Linked DNA regions of Struthio camelus. The protein of the gene in region 1 binds, or shares a complex with, the protein of each later gene. Links are inferred from orthologs where the notes say so. Each region holds a gene or a part of one and is shown on either strand. Other genes may lie near its edges.

Region 1 (4,438 bases):
CCAGCGCTGCGCCTGCCGCCACACTCCAGGTGCGTCCGGTGCCGGCTGCAGCCTTCTGCTTTCTCCGTGTTGGTTTTTTTTTCGGCAACAGGCTTTAAACTGAACAAGAAGCTGCATGAGCTGATCATCACCCGCTACGCGGAGCCGGACCTGGCCATCGACTTCGATAACTTCGTCTGCTGCTTGGTGCGCCTGGAAACCATGTTCCGTGAGTGGCCTTTTCCCTTTTTCCGGCTGTTTTTACCACCTGTAGTGAAGAGGAAACGAGCGGTCTCTGCTTTCCGGACTGTTTCATGGCATTCGGAAGGGGGGAGATGCTTCCCACAGGCCATGATTTTGAGGATTAGAAGGAATCGTGTTGATTTTTTCCCTTTCCCCTTCTGTTGCCGCAGGGTTTTTCCAAGCGCTGGACGCAGATAAGGACGGAGTCGTCACTTTTAACTTGTTGAAGGTAGCTTCCGGCTCCGCTGGCGCGTTGGTTGCGGCTCCGGGTGCCACTGGGCCTCGCTCTCACCCTCCTTTCCCTCCTCTCCCTCGCAGTGGCTGCAGCTCACCATGTTCGCTTGAAGCGGAGCCGCTCGCCCCCAGCCCACGGCGCCATCTCAGCTGCCAAGTGCCTTCGCGGCAGGAGCCGGCAGGGGAAATTTCTCCTCCGAGCTGCCCCCCTCCCCTCCCGGCACCTTTCCCCGCCTCGCTTCCGGACACACGGAAAACGGTCTCTTCCCGGGTCTGCCGCTTCCTCCCACGGACGCTCCGGTTTTCCCTTCGGCTACTACCGCTGGCTTTCTCGTTGTGGGATTAATGGAGTAAAGAAGCTGCGGCTCTCGGTGGATGAGGGCGTCGGATCGCGTCCCCGAAACCGCCCCGCGCTGTCCTCAGGCGTCCCCGCCGTCTCCTCGGTGCCTTCCCTGCCGTTTTCCAGCTCGGTTGCCTTAGCGGTTTGTCAGCAAAGTGCTTCGTGTCACCCAGAACGGCCCTTTTTGGTCTCCTTTCTCTGTCTCTCTGCTGCAACCCTGGACGAACCCCCTTCCTCAGGCTTCGCCTCTGGCCGGGGGCTAGCGCGCTTAACGCCGCCGCGAGCACTGAAATGCAGGATATCCCTCTCGCGCTTACCTCCTGGGTACTGTTTTGTCGTTTTGTTGTTTGTTTTTTTTACTGTATAAACTTGTTTTAATGGCGTTTTAAAAAAAAAAAAAAAAAACAGTCTTCTTAAAGCTGCCCCTTGCTGAGTGGTTCTTCCCGGCCCCCGGGGTGGGGTAGCTGGCCACCATCTCCCTGCCTCCCTCGGGGGAGGAAATGGGGTGTTTTTACCACCTGCCTGCAAAATATATAATATATTGACAGAATTTTTTTTTCCCCTCCCTGTTTTTGAGTAAAAGGCCGGCGTGGGGCCCGGTTCCCGGCCGCTCCTGTCATGGCCGCTCCTGTCACGGCCCGGCGCCCCCTCAGCGTCGCGCTGCGCCACAGCCGGGGCGGGAAACTCTTCCCGCCTTTTTCTTCCCCCCCCCCACCCCGTGGGGGAGGGGGGAGGACAGGTGCCGGCCACGCCCCTGAGGGGAAGGCGGGACGGGCGCACCGCCCCCTCCTCCCATTGGCTGACCGCCCTGTCTCGTTTGCATAGCCGCGCCCCCAGCGCTGCTCCGCCCCTCACCGCCTTATAAGGCTGGGGCTCCGCCCCTCCGCGCGCTGCCGTCAAGCGCGGCGGTGTCGCGCCCGCGCGGGCTTTTCGCCGCGGCGGCGGCGGTGGCGGCAGGAGCGATGGCGGCGGCGGCGGTGGAGGAGCCGGTGTCGGCCGAGGCGGTGCTGCGGGAGCTGGGGCTCTTCGAGCTGGGCTGCGACGGCGAGGACGTGCCCGCCAAGCGTGAGGGGGCCGCGGGGCGTCGGGGGGGGGTGGCGAGGGGGTGTGGGGGGGTGTTGGGGTTCGAGGGGGTGTTGGGGTTCGGGGGGGTGTCGGGGTAGTTGTTGGGGTTCGAGGAGGTGTCGGAGGGTTGTTCGGGATCGAGGGGGTGTCGGGGGGTGTTGGGGTTAGGGGAGTGCTGAGGGGGTGCTGGGGGTCGGGGGGGTGTTGGGGTTCGAGGGGGTGGGGGGGTCGAGGAGCGTCAGGGGGGTGTTGCGGTTAGGGGAATTGTTGGGGTGTCGGGATTGTTTGGGGTCGAGGGGGTGTTGGGGTTAGGGGAGTGTCAAGGGGGTGTTGGGGGTCGAGGGGGTTTCGGGGGGGTGTTGGGGGAGTTGTTGGGGTTCGAGGAGGTGTCGGAGGGTTGTTCAGGATCGAGGGGATGTTGGGGGGGGTGTTGGGATTAGGGGAGTGCTGAGGGGGTGTTGGGTGTTGGGGTTCGAGGGGGTGTTGGAGGGTTGTTCGGGGTTGGGGAGGGGCTTTGAGCAGTGTTGTGGTTAGGGGAGTGCTGAGGGGGTGTTGGGGTTCGAGGGGGTGTCGGGGTTGTTGGGGTTCAGGGGGTGTTGGGGGTTAGGGGAGTGTCAGAGAGTGTTGAGGTTTGGGGGGTGCTGGGATCAGGGGAGTGTCAAGGGGGTGTTGGGGTTCGAGGGGGTATCGGGGTTGTTGGGGTTAGGGGAGTGTTGAGGGAGTGTTGAGGGAGTGTTGGGGTTTGGGGCTGTCAGGGTTCGAGGGGGTGTCAGGAGAGTGTTGAGGTTTGAGGGGGTGTTGGCGTTCCAGGGGATGTCAGGGGGTGTTGGGGTTGGGGGGTGTCGAGGGGGTGTTATGATTTGGGGCTGTTAGGGTTCGAGGGGGTGTCGGGAGGATGTTGGGGTTTGAGGGATTGTTGGGGGGTGTTGAGGTTTGAAGGGGTGTTGGGTTGTTGGGGTTCGAGGGGGTGTCGGGAGGATGTTGGGCTTCAGGGGTGTTGAGGGGTCGTTGGGGGCTGCTGGGGTTCAAGGAGGTGCCGGAGGGGTTGTTGGGTTCTGGGGGGGGTGTCGGGGGGAGGGTTGTTAGGGTTTGGGGGTAGCAGGAAGAGGTGGGGGTTGGGGGTCACAGAAGGGTTTGGGGTTTTTTAGGGGTGTTAGGAAGGGGATGGGGTCTTGGGGGTGTTGTTGATCAGGTTTTAGGGGTATCGGGTGGGAGCTGATGGTGTCTAAGAGGTGGGTCACGGTTGGGGGGTGTCGGGGGTGTCAGGATTTAGGATCAGGGAGGGATGGGGGTTGGGGGTACCGAGGGTATTTGGGGGAGAGTTGAGGGTATTGAGGAAGGTGTTTTGGGGGGCGTTGGGGTATTTGGGGAGGGTCGAGGGAATCAGGAAGGTGTTCTGGGAGGTATTGGGCATGTTGGGAGGGTCGGGGGTATCAGGGAAGGCGTTTTGGGGGGGGTCGGGGTATTTGGGGAGGGTCAGGGGTATTAGGGAAGGCGTTTTGGGGGTGTTGGGAAGGTCAGGAGTATCGGGAGGGTGTTTTGGGGCGTGTTGGAGTATTTGGGCAGGGTTGGAGGTATCAGGAAGGCATTTTGGGGGGTGTTGGGGTGTTTGGGGAGGGCTGGGGCCAGGGAAGGTGTTTTTTGGGTGTTGGGAGGATCAGGGGTATCGGGAAGGTGTTTTGGGGGGTGTTGGGGTATTTGGGGAGGAGCAGGGGCATCAGGGAAGGTGTTTAGGGGGGCGTTGGGTACGTTGGGGTATTTGTAGGGGGTATTAGGGACAATTTTGGGAGCTCCCGGGGTTCGGGGGCGTCAGCGCTTGGGGGGATAGGAGGGAGGGTGTTGGGGTTCAGCGCTCGGGGTGGGGGCGGGCGCCCTGCTGACCCCCGCCCGCCCCCCCGCAGTGGTGGAGCTGTGCCTGGCCCACGGCCTCAGCCCCGTCACCCTGGCTAACGAGCTGCTGGCCTTCGTCACCAGCAAGGACTTGGGCACGCTGCTCACCGCCGACGGCCTGGCCGCCTTCGAGCACGAGGTGGGGTCCCCCGCGCCCCCCGCCCCAACCCCTCCCCAACCGCCGCGGGCGCTCACCCCCTCTCCGCCGCCGCCAGGTCCTCGCCAAGCGCAGCAAGAAAATCCCCCGGAGAACGGACAACCGCTACGCCGGTCTCCGCGACATCCATTCCCTCCAGGAGCTGTATCCTTCGCCGGAGCTGTTGGAAGGTTTCGGGGGTTGTCATTTAAGAAATATACATTATATATATTTTAATCGTGCTGCGGGCGGACGTCCCGGAAGCGGCGTTCAGCCAGGGTGGGGAGAGACCCCCGTTCGCGTCCCCTTCCTCGAGCCTGGCGCCGTTCCCGCCTCCGGTGGCGGCGAAACCTCCTTAACGAACGGCAGCCTCGACGAGGACGAGGAAGAGGAGCTGCTGGACGCCTACGCGACGCCCTCCAAGGTGAGCCGGCGGCTTGCGCCCGGCGCCCGCGCCCGGCTCGGCGGCGCCCCGAAACGCCCGCTCTCTCCCGCAGGGCTCGCAGAAACGCGCCGGCGGCGGCACCCCGGAGACCCCCCGGCCCAAGCGG
Region 2 (4,438 bases), on another chromosome or scaffold:
GGACCTGAGACCTCCCCATGGGTGTGGGGCTGGGACCCAAACGCGTATGGGGCTGGGACCCCTCCATGGGCAGTGACATCTTAGGCGTGGGGCCGTGCCCCCTGCACAGCACCAGCCCCCCCAGCTCCCCCTGCGCCCCATGGTGACGCACCCATGGCTGTGCGGCCGGCACCCTCCACCCTGCCCAGCCCCGACCCACACGTTGGCCGCGGAGGCAACAGAGCTGTTTAATGGTCTTTGTGCAAAAAAAGTACAAAAAGGGGGGCAGGAAGGGCCGGTCTGGGCCAGGGGGTCGGGCACGGCGGGTGGCAGGGAGACGGCTCGACCTCGGGATGCGGGGCCCGGCCGCTGGCTCAGAAGTCTCCTTGCAGGTCTGGAAAGAGGAGAAATGGGGGGTTTTTACCCCAGAAAGAGCAGCTCCCCCTGGGCAGGGGCAGTGGGCTGTCGCCGGGTGCTCACCGCTCCGCCGGAGCGCCTCTCCGCGCCGGGCGCGCTCCATGCCCTCCACGAACTGCTCGAAGAGCCGCACATAGGGCGCCAGGCTCGTCCGCTTGTAGTCTGCGGGAGACGGGACTGAGCGGGGCCGGGGCAATGGGGACTCCCCCGCAGCCCCCCAGCCCAGCCCGGCCCCGCTCACCCCGCGGCCGCCGCTTGGGCTCTGTGTCGCCGTCGTCCTCCAGCTCGCTGGTTGCGTCCAGCTCCTGGCACAGGGAGCTGCGGGAGAGAGACGCGGCGGGAGGTGGTGGCCACCCCCCACTGCTGCCGCGGACCCCCCCCACCCCCCGGCACGCACCTACCTGATGGTGGGGACAGCGAAGGGGTCGAACTGCTCCAGCCTCTGCAGGTCCAGCGGCACCGAGATGCGCCCTGCCGGGGTTGGGGGGTGAGGGGGGGCCGGGCGCGGGGCGGCCCGCAGGGCGGCCGGGACCTACCTGTTTTGGGGTGGACACTGAAGGGGCTCTTGAGCAGGTGCCCGACGCCCTTGCTGACGTTGATGTCCAGCCGGGGGAAGCAGTACTGCAGCATGATCTCCCAGTCTGCGTAGCACGGCAGGCTCTTCCCGGGGCCCGCAGGGCGCTGCAACGGCGGAGGGGCCCGTCACCACCACTGCCACCACCGTGGTCCCACCGCTGCCCCGCCACACTCACCCGCGTCCGCTCCATCCTGGCCTTCAGCAGCTCCCAGCGCTGCGCCGAGTCCCTCTTCTTGGGGAATTCGCTCCGCAGCACGTCACGGTGCTGTGCCGGCGGTTAAGGCCATTCGCCGGGTGTTGCCGGACCCCCCTCCCGCTCCCAACGCGGCGGCTCCGGAAAGGATATCCTCTGGCACGAGGGCCAGCACCTTCTCCCAGCTCTCCTGGCTGCCCAGGATGTCCTGGCCCTCCAGGGCGTAGGCGGCGAAGTACCGCTCCACCACGCTCACCGAGCGCCTGCGGGCAGAGGCGGCTCAGCCCCGGCCGGCCCCGCGCCGCCCGCCCGCCCGCCCCGGCCCCGCATCTCACCCACCTGACGAAGGGGTGCACAGGCTCTGAGAGCGCCACCTTCTTCACCGTCTCCGCGCCGCCCTGGGGGGATGGCGGTGGTGAGGCCGGGCCTGGGGCACAGTGGGCTGCCCCGCGCCGCCCCCCGGCCCCGCCGCCCACCCACCTTCACCAGCGACAGGTACTCCACGGCGGCGCCGCGCAGCGCCGGCGACCACTTGCGCACCGTGTCGTCGCATACCCAGCAGTGGACGCCCCGGCGGCCCGAGTACACCCAGAGCCGGTGCTTCACGCCCAGGTCCTCTGCAGGGGAAAGAGCAGGGCTCCAGCAAGGGCCGCGGGAAGCGGCGGTCCTGGCACAGCCCCCAGAAAGCACCCCGCCGTTGCACCCCTGGGCGCATGCCCAGGATCCCTGCCGTTGCTCCCCTCCGCCCATCGCGCCCCCCTCCGGGCGCCGCGGCAGCAGACGCTATTGCAACGCAAACTGCAGCCGAGCACGTCCTAAAAACCCATGGGAAAGCGCCCGAGGCGAGGGGTGGCGCGGGGTCTGGGGGGCTCACCCACAAGCGCCCGGTCGAGCACGCGGACGGCGATGGTCATCAGGGTCCAGCACTTGGAGCAGATCTCGGCCGAGCTGCAGGCGGAGCGGAGCCGGGTCGGGAGCGTGCGGCGGCAGCGCCGGGCGCCTCCCCAGCCCTCCCCACTCGCCCGGCCGCCCCGGGGACCTGCAGCACGCGCGGACATCATCGTAGTCCGTCATGTCGATGTCGAACACCAGCTCCTTCTCCTGCGGCTGGAAGGCGCCCAGGTGCACCGTGTTGTGCTGGTTGGGCTGCGGGGAAGGCAGCCGGCTCAGCCCGTGCCCGCGGCACGCGCCCCCGGCCCGGCTGCCGCCGCCGACTCACGCGGTGCGAGTACACGGCCCCAATGTCGATCTTGTAGGGGTTGGTTTTCTGCAGCTCCCGCTCCAGCTCCTGGGGGCTGCCGAAGGACTGGAAGCGCAGGTAGACGTCGTCCCGCAGCGTGAAGGAGAACTCCCGCAGCTGGAAGTAGTTTTTGGCCGCTGCGGGGGCGCGGCCGGCATGGGCTGGGGCAGGGCCTGCCGCCCCCCGCTGCGGCGCTGCTGAGAACCCTCCGCTCATCACACGCCCCCCCAGCACCCTCCCATTCGCAGCCCCTCCTGCTGTCACCCCTCCAGGTCCCCCCTTCATCGCCTGCACCCGGGGCCCCCCTGTCCACTGCTCCCAGGCCCCCACTTCCACAGGTGGGTCCCCAGGGGGACCCCTCCACTGCACCCCTGCCAGCGCCCCCGGGACCCCCCCACTCATCCCCTGCACCCCAGCATCCCCTTCATTGCACCCCTGAACCCCTCCTATTCATTGCACCCCATCCCAGCGCCCCCGGGCCCCCCCACTCATTGCGTGCACCTCCAGGACTCCCTTCGTTGCACCCCCCCCAACCAATGTACCCCTGGACCCCCCCCCCATTCCTTGCACCGCACCCCAGCGCCCCCCCCATCGCACCGCCGTGGCCCCCCCCCCCCCCCCGCCCTGCGCCGCTGAGGCCGCCGCGCTCATCGCAGGCGCCGCCGGCCCCGCTCACCGCCGCCGTAGCTGAGCCAGCGGCCGTAGGCGCCGTGCGGGAAGAGGCGCCGGTAGAAAACCGGGAGCAGCTCGGGCAGCGCCGCCGGCTCGAAGGGCGCCATGGCGGGAGCGGCGGGAGCGGGGGCGGCGGCGCCACGTGCCCCGCGGGGCCGCCGGGAACTGTAGTCCGGGACCGGCCCGGGCCGCGCGGCATTGGGGGGGGCGCACGGGGCTGGGGGGCGCACGGGGCTGGGGGGCGCACGGGGCTGGGGGGCGCACGGGGCACGGGGGGCACACGGGGCTGGGGGGCACACGGGGCACGGGGGGCACACGGGGCACGGGGGGCACACGGGGCACCGGGGGCTGGGGGGGGCGCACGGGGGATTAGGGCGCACGGGGGCGCACGGCCTTGCAATGGTGCAGGGGGCTGGGAGTGCACACGGGATTGGGGTGAATGGGGCTGGGGGACACACAGGATTGGGGTGCATACAGAATTGGGGCGCACGCAGTTGCAGCACACAGGATTGGGGTGCACGGGGCTGGGGGGGGCACACGGCCTTGCAGGGGAAACACGGGATTTGGGGGGGGCACATGAGATAGCAGGGTGCACACAGCATTGGGGGGGCACACGGGGCTGCAGGGTGCACAGCAATGGGGGCAGCATGGGGGTTGCACAGGGCTGTGGGGTGCAAAGCAATGGGGAGTGCACAGGATTGCAGGAGGTGCACAGCATTGCAGGGGGGCGCAGGGGATTGCGGGGTGCACGGAGCACTGCAGGACGCACAGGCTGCACAGGGCAGTGGCGGGTGCGGGCGGTGCAAGGTGCACCCAGCCCCGTGCACGCGGTGTGGGTGCCGGGGTGAAGAGCCCCCAGGACATTGACCCAGCCCTGGTTAATGATTCCCCTCCAGCTGCAGCCAACAGCAGAGCCAGGGCAGTGCCCTGGCCCCGCCGTCCCCAGCCCCTCCCCGCGATGGCATGAAGCCGCGGGTCTGGGACCAAGCTCCTGCAGCACCACGAGACCACTCCGGGGGCGGCCTGGGGGGGTGGGAGCCACCTCCGTCCCACCTGGAGCCAGCCGACCGCAGTCCGGGGCTGGGCACTCGCGCGGACGCCACCAGCCGCAGCGTTCCCGTCCCAGCCGCACGCGTCTGGCACCGCGGGGCCGCATCCGTCACCCGCAGCCCTCTCCCCGTCACCCCGTGCGCTCCCAGCATCACCCACGAGGATGTGGCTGTACCTGGCAGTGCTGGTGGGGCTGTACCTGCTGCGCCGGTGGTACCTGGAGCGGCAGCGGGTGCCGAACCTGACGGAGAAATACGTGCTGATCACGGGCTGCGACTCGGGCTTCGGCAACCTGCTGGCGCGGCAGCTG

What was found.
Region 2: POLA2 (region 1) and PRIM1 share a complex: the UniProt entries of both Homo sapiens proteins name them as parts of the alpha DNA polymerase complex. The link is inferred for Struthio camelus from reciprocal best matches to the Homo sapiens genes POLA2 and PRIM1.

Annotation. Positions count from the first base shown.
Region 1 is NC_090976.1:815,441-819,878, forward strand, and holds the start of POLA2 (DNA polymerase alpha subunit B), read left to right. Parts: upstream 1-1,691; 5' UTR 1,692-1,758; coding exon 1,759-1,861; intron 1,862-3,762; coding exon 3,763-3,890; intron 3,891-3,966; coding exon 3,967-4,052; intron 4,053-4,256; coding exon 4,257-4,311; intron 4,312-4,384; coding exon 4,385-4,438. Other genes in the region: CAPN1 (calpain-1 catalytic subunit), read left to right, coding at 92-208, 393-451, 541-567. UniProt on the Homo sapiens protein: Accessory subunit of the DNA polymerase alpha complex (also known as the alpha DNA polymerase-primase complex) which plays an essential role in the initiation of DNA synthesis.
Region 2 is NC_090969.1:362,659-367,096, reverse strand, and holds PRIM1 (DNA primase small subunit), read right to left. Parts: upstream 3,241-4,438; 5' UTR 3,186-3,240; coding exon 3,083-3,185; intron 2,544-3,082; coding exon 2,386-2,543; intron 2,313-2,385; coding exon 2,206-2,312; intron 2,115-2,205; coding exon 2,041-2,114; intron 1,784-2,040; coding exon 1,647-1,783; intron 1,565-1,646; coding exon 1,506-1,564; intron 1,430-1,505; coding exon 1,320-1,429; intron 1,241-1,319; coding exon 1,149-1,240; intron 1,078-1,148; coding exon 933-1,077; intron 868-932; coding exon 798-867; intron 715-797; coding exon 638-714; intron 559-637; coding exon 460-558; intron 374-459; coding exon 354-373; 3' UTR 210-353; downstream 1-209. Other genes in the region: retinol dehydrogenase 16-like, read left to right, coding at 4,292-4,438. UniProt on the Homo sapiens protein: Catalytic subunit of the DNA primase complex and component of the DNA polymerase alpha complex (also known as the alpha DNA polymerase-primase complex - primosome/replisome) which play an essential role in the initiation of DNA synthesis.